Caenorhabditis elegans: one gene and its partner. The protein of the gene in region 1 interacts with the protein of each later gene in a biochemical or structural test. Each region holds a gene or a part of one and is shown on either strand. Other genes may lie near its edges.

Region 1 (3,514 bases):
TCAACTTCAATAACAAAGCACGTATTGTCCCGTCTCAAAACACATCCCGATTTCTTCAACCGTTCTCTGGTCGCTGGGATAATATTTTTCCGTCTTGTAACCTCAACACTACATGTTTCACCTTTCATGAGCTCTGTCTGATACTTGGATATATTTCCACTGGCACCGTTCACCTTGACTATTTTGTCGCCTGAAAGAAAAGTATTTTTAATCTAGTTTTTTAAACTGGTTTAATACATTAATTGGAAAAGTGTAAAGTGGAAAAGAAACTAGGGAGTCTTCCGAGGAAAATTGACTTTTCCTGGCTCAAAATGTATAATTGTGGACAGAAGAGTTTTGAAACCCTTGTACCAGTCAAACCAATTTTTGCCTATTATTTTATCGGGGATAAATATACATTTGTTCGGCAAAACATCACAACTTCATAGCAAACTCTTGCAACTTGAAACAAACATTTATAAACAATTGCCAAGAGATGTTACAAAGTTGCAAAAACCGGAGCAGTTCTAAGCGAAATGTTTCATAAAGTTTGCCAAAAGAAATTGCAAGAGTCATCTGAAAAGCTGCAGAAATTTGTTAGAAAACTAAAGTAAATAATGGTTTGTAAGAAGTTGCAAGATTCTGTTATGAAGTTGGCCCGCTTCAAAATAGTTTCGGGTTATCCGGCCGTTGGAAACTTACTCAATATCAATCCATTGTAAAACGAGTTTGTTGATAGGAAAGAAACCATCGAATTCTCATTAATTCTAATAACTTCATTCGCAGGCTTTCCGACATCTTTTTCATCAATCTTGAATGAAACTGTCATATTTACAGTTTCCACATTCTGTGGGATCGGTGTCAGCCAACATTCTTTCATCTTTTTGTTCGTATTCTGCACTTTTTTCTTCGACATTCTTCTTCAAAAGAAATAACGTTTTCCGAAGTTACTTGTTAGCTCCAAACTCACGATTATGGTTTCCTTTTGAAATCCGGAAATTTAGTGTCAAATGATAAATAAGAATGATTAGAAATCTACCTCCTCCCCCTCGACTAAACTGAATTGGAAAAACATAAAGTTTAAATTCAAAATGGTGTGTCACGCGATAAAAAGTTACTGGAGAAACTTGAGAATTATAAAATAGTATTCAAATTAAACGTTTGATATAAAACTGTAAAGATATACATACTCAGTGCACATTTAAAAAAACTGAAAAAAAAACGTTGTTGTGTTCTGAAGCCCAAAAAGGCTAGATGTTCTGGTCACCATGTACAGCTAAGAATCCAAGTATTCTGGGAAAGTTCAATTACATATATTGCCTGTCAACTCCATTTCTGTACTTAATTCTACTCCAATTATATTATTTTTTTTCTATTTCCTGGACTTTTATTGATCCTTGGTTGCCTGTCCCCCCAATCTTTCTTCGTACTCTCCTCCCGTTTCCCCTTCCTTCTCGGAGAGCCTTGTCTCTCGAATCCTGTGTTTCGCAAAAATCATCGTCAACTTCCACACAGATATCATTCTGCGTCTCTTCGCCCTCTATGATCTCTCATGCCCGTTGATCAGGAGCATCTGTCACCCAGTGTAACACCAAGAATGTGTTTTGTGGAGGAGACGATGATGCCGTTGTGAGAAAGAAAAGCCCGCCCTCGGGTTCCTCCGCCTACTCGCTCCCGCCGTTGCTTCTGCCCGACGAAGCTTATCCAGAGCACAACAAACTCCGACAACATGGTGAGTCCCGCTTTCTCATGTCTTCAATAAATTTCTTTTTGAATTTTTATATGTTTATACTTTTATAGGCTGAGGATATCGAAGAGATTCTTGCTGAAATCGACGGATCCCAAATTGAGGGTAAGATATTTTATATTTATGATTGAAAAATCATCATTAAAACTTTCTAGAATACCAAAAGTTCTTCGATGCCTTCGACAGAGGAAAGCAAGGATACATCATGGCCACTCAGATCGGTCAAATCATGCATGGAATGGAACAGGATTTCGATGAGAAGGTAAATCATTTTGGAACTTTTGGTTTATGTAGAGTTAGGGGATCTTCAGAAGAGTGATAATTCAAATTAGGAAGTTTTCAACTCTTTTAAATTTAGGTTTCACGGTAATGATTAGGTAGGCCAACTGAGTAAGATAACCGAAAATATAAATGGGTTACTCTTGCCTAAAATTTTGTTTTTATCCGACCTATCTTCTGCGGCTTGTTTCTCAACTGAATTCAATTAATTTTCGCCACTAAAACATGTTACTAATGTTTGTGAAATAATTAATTTTGATATTCCATCTGAACAAAAGCATTTATTATGTCGACTAAAGTAAGATATAACTATATGTTATGAAATTTAGTTATAGAATTGATGATTTTGATTTTTCTAAATCTATGTGGCATCTAACTTCATTCTTTTAGACCCTTCGTAAACTGATCCGCAAGTTCGACGCTGACGGTTCCGGAAAGCTCGAGTTTGACGAGTTCTGCGCTCTCGTGTACACCGTTGCAAACACTGTCGACAAGGAAACATTGGAGAAAGAACTTCGTGAAGCTTTCCGTCTTTTCGACAAGGAGGTTTGTACTTTTAGATTTTGCTTTTTATTCTTTAATTATTAATTTTTCAGGGTAACGGATATATTTCTCGACCAACTCTGAAGGCTCTTCTCAAAGAAATCGCCGATGACCTCACCGATCAACAACTCGAGGAGGCTGTCGACGAGATTGACGAGGACGGTTCCGGAAAGATTGAGTTCGAGGAGTTCTGGGAGTTGATGGCTGGAGAGTCTGATTAAATTTTCTAATTCCTTTAAAATGTAAGTGTTCGAGCTTTTTTTGATTTTATTCAAAAACTAACTTTTTATTTTTCAGCGCTGATCTACAATCTTCAACTGTGGGGACCAGTCACCAACTTTTCATAATTTCCTTTTTCTTGAAATGTTAAATTCATTTCACTTTTTATTAATTTTCTTGTCATTCTTTTGAATGAATAAAAATGAATAAAAGTCTTTGTACATCCACAGGCTTATTGGAAGAGTGTGACCAATTTGAAACGGCCAAAATCAGGAAATAATCAGAAGAACTAGACTTCTCAAATCCTTTAACACAACATCAAATCCGCAGTATAGTGCTCCGTTTTCTCTTGACCTAAAAAAACGGGAAAAGTCCATCTACGGGGAATGGAATGACAAATCTCTATAAATATAGAGATTCACCGTTGCAACCTTGTTGTTTGAAAGTGAAGTGTCTCTAAATAGAATGAAAATTATGAAAAATGGAAAATGTATTAAATCACTGCAAATGAGACCTCTACTCTGCGGCATTACAGTTTTTACCGTTTTAGCGCAACAGGACAGTTTTTGTAAATTTGCAAAAGTAAAGTGACAATTCTCTATGTAGATTTTCTACGAATGAATTTCAGGATACTTGTGAACTTGCAAAACAGTTTTTCACTATTTCAATTGTTCCAAATCTAAATTCAACAAATCCCTCTCTTTTTCTCTATCTGTGCTCAACTCTTTTCTATATAAACTTAGTGTA
Region 2 (3,437 bases), on another chromosome or scaffold:
CAATTTAGCTCATTATTAGTTATACCTCACTGAGGACACTACTTCTAATGAAAATTATTCCTTGATAGCAATCAAGAAATAATTTTCTAAAAGTAAAAAATTGTAAGCTGTAAAAGTTCGGTAGTGCCAATTAATTTACCCATATGACAACCGCTCATGTATAATAATATTTCGTAACACTTGTGCCCCCACTACTGCTCAACGTTTTTAACCAAAACATCATCATCGCCTCCATCAGCTATTTTTCTGTATCTTCTTCCGATGTTTCTCTTTCTCTATATACTCGTTGCAATGAACAATGTATCAAAAGAAAGATAGAGCTTGCCGCATCAGAAGAAAACAGTGTAAACTATTCGGAGATTGGCAGAAAAGCGTGATAACACAGTTGAAAACAATTCAAGATAAGAATGTGAATGTTTATGGAAAAAAGTGTTAAAAATAAACAGGACAATAGATCGGTTTAATCCATCACTACTCCATAAACTAAAATGGGTGTGAAAATAGTTACAGGGAATTGGAATTTATTTACAAGTTTCGGGTTGTTATTTACCATTGTTGGAAAATGTAGATTTTTCTCGTTGTGATCTGATTTTTGAATGTGTGATTTTTTTAATGATTTAGATTCACTTATTTTATAGTCTTGTCAAAAATAACTACTTTATGATAACAACTGATAAATTCAATTTGAAAGTAATAATATTCAACTTTTTGTGATAACTAATGATGATTTGCATACCCAATTTCATTATCCCCGCTATCTTTTTTCTTTATCACTTATCACAAATCTCAAACATCTGCCCACACCTCGCAACACTTTCAACTCATGGTCCCTAACATATTGAATTTCAAGAGAGTCTCACCGGCCACCGTGACTATTTTTATTGTATTTTTCCACACGTCACACTTGTCAGCTTGTCAATTTTTTTTTAGGTTTTTTTGTTTTCTGACCTACTCAAATCCTACGTGACAGCATGAAATTATGGAACTGAAAGAGAAATGGTTGAAAACAAAACACTGTGAAAAAATAAATAAAATTATTCTTGATTCTGATGAAAAATGTCATGTTCCAATTCACTTTTGAAACAATTTATCCAACAAATATTTACAGATCTCACTAGCGAGCCATGTCACAACTACAAAAAAGCAATCGAATTGATGAACTCAGTGACACCGTTGAAAAATCAGTATGTTATTTTAAAAATTGTTTAGGTATTTTTAGTAGTACGATTTTGATTTTTGATCACATATCTTCTTTTTGAAAATACAGAAAAACTACAGACTAGCTTCATAAATTGTTCGGAGCCCCATTCACCGAATAGCTCATAACTTGACCCACTGCCCCATCTGAAACCAATATCTTCTTGCCGCGTTCCGTTGGTTTTTTCCACTGAAGTTGCCACAGCTCTATCCCTATCTCTCGCTTGTCTTCAATCAATCTCGGCCAACGCAATTGGTAGGCAAGAATCATTACAACAAGCGGGAGACGTGTTGGAAAGAGCATCTGTCTGTATGGCATTGTCCGAGAGACCCAAAGATACAGAATTGGAGGGCGGGCGGTTTGTGGGGCGGCTGTTGCCAACTCTAGGTACCTCTCACGAGTTGCGACATCTATTGGCAGGATACTTCAGATTTCAATTCACAAGGCCTTCGGATGCATGATCAGGCTCGCCGCTAATTTGTTTTATGCTCATTCAAAAATTATTCATTTTGTGAATTTAATCTTCTGTTTTGTGATACTTGTACCCCAAACTAAAATTTCAGATGAGTGAAGAAGCCGGAGAGGACGCCCAGCGCAAAGCTGCCGAGCGCGAGGCCAAGAAGGCCGAGGTGCGCAAGCGTCTCGAAGAGGCCGGAAACAAGAAGAAGGCCAAGAAGGGATTCTTGACACCAGAGCGTAAGAAGAAGCTTCGTGTAAGTTGTGTTTTTGGAACACTTAAATGTTTAACTTATTTTTGATTTCAGAAGCTTTTGATGGTCAAGGCCGCCGAGGATCTTAAGAGACAACAATTGCTTAAGGAGCAAGAAAGACAAAAGGCTCTTGCTGACAGAACCATCTCACTTCCAAATGTTGACTCCATTGATGATAAGGGACAACTCGAGAAGATCTACAATGACCTCTGGGCTCGTCTTACCCAGCTCGAGGAGGAGAAGTACGACATCAACTACGTCGTCTCCCAGACTGAGGCTGAGATCAACTCCCTCACTATTGAGGTCAACGATCTTCGTGGAAAGTTGTGAGTTTTTATCAGTTTTTGATGAATTTCCCATATATGTAAAATCATCCAAAGTATTGATTTTACTTTTTATTTTTCAGCGTCAAGCCTTCACTCAAGAAGGTGTCGAAGTACGACAACAAGTTCAAGAAGAGCGGTGAGAGCAAGGCCGGAACCAAGGAAGACTTCCGTGCCAACCTCAAGATTGTCAAGAAGGACGTTATGGAGGCCATCGTCAATGTTGTAAGTTTTATCTGCAATGTTCGAGAATTTTGATAAACAAATATTTCAATTTCAGAAGAAGAAGGACGACAAGCCAGATTGGTCCAAGAAGAACAAGGATGCCAAGGCCGAAGACTCCGCTCCAGCTGCCGTTGCTCCAGAAGCTGAGCCAGTTGCAGAGGAAGCCGAGGCTGAGCCAGAAGCCGGTTTGTCAAAAATGATTTAGATTTTCTCGATAACTGAAAACTTGCAGAGGAAGAGGAAGGAGAGGAGGAGGAGGAGGAGTAAACTCCTAAATCCATCACTTCAATCCTGCTCAACATCATCCAAATCGACGTCATCAAACCGAACAACCCCCCTCCCCAAAAAAAAATATGCCAACATCAATATTCTGTAGTTTGTAAAATACTTTTTTACCATTTTATTCTTCCTTCGATGGGTCCCGGAAATTTAAATGTCAACAACGTGTGTGCTAATAAAATCTTGGTGGTCAGACTTGTGTGTTTGAATCCTTGAAGAAATATGAGAAGGAAGTGTGAAGTGTAGTAGGGAGTGTCTGGTTAAAAGTGATAAGTGAAGGAGAACGTGGGAGGAAAACATGAGAGGATCACTCTCCTGGGCTCTAAGAATAGTGCGAATAATTTTGGGACGCTTTGACAAACTCATTTGTCAGATAACGTTTCAAAAAGTATTTCAAATATTTTTGACACAATTTTGAAACACTCACAACATTCAACACCACAGACGCCAAAAAAACTGTTCTTGCAATTTCAAAATTTCGATCAAGTTTCCATCTGTTGAAAATTGATACATGAAAATATCTCTTTTAATTGTGCAGAACTTAATCAGCAATATTCATATTCACAGTTTAGCTGTTATGATACAATGCTGCAGTAAATTTGAAGATTATCGTGATCTATGGAGAAAATCAAGGGAAGTTGATAGCTTGGAAAAGCAAACAGGAGAGCACATTTCAATGAAAAGTCAATAGTTTTCCAAAAG

Evidence for each region.
Region 2: the proteins of pat-10 (region 1) and unc-27 interact in far-western blotting, tested with the Caenorhabditis elegans proteins (2 studies listed by BioGRID).

Annotation. Positions count from the first base shown.
Region 1 is NC_003279.8:5,018,258-5,021,771, reverse strand, and holds pat-10 (EF-hand domain-containing protein), read left to right. Parts: upstream 1-1,685; 5' UTR 1,686-1,708; coding exon 1,709-1,711; intron 1,712-1,779; coding exon 1,780-1,831; intron 1,832-1,881; coding exon 1,882-1,988; intron 1,989-2,395; coding exon 2,396-2,551; intron 2,552-2,601; coding exon 2,602-2,769; 3' UTR 2,770-2,790; intron 2,791-2,845; 3' UTR 2,846-2,989; downstream 2,990-3,514. Other genes in the region: C46H11.6 (PDZ domain-containing protein), read right to left, coding at 1-190, 682-895.
Region 2 is NC_003284.9:8,787,695-8,791,131, forward strand, and holds unc-27 (Troponin I 2), read left to right. Parts: upstream 1-1,761; coding exon 1,762-1,911; intron 1,912-1,962; coding exon 1,963-2,234; intron 2,235-2,314; coding exon 2,315-2,456; intron 2,457-2,511; coding exon 2,512-2,641; intron 2,642-2,688; coding exon 2,689-2,723; 3' UTR 2,724-2,927; downstream 2,928-3,437.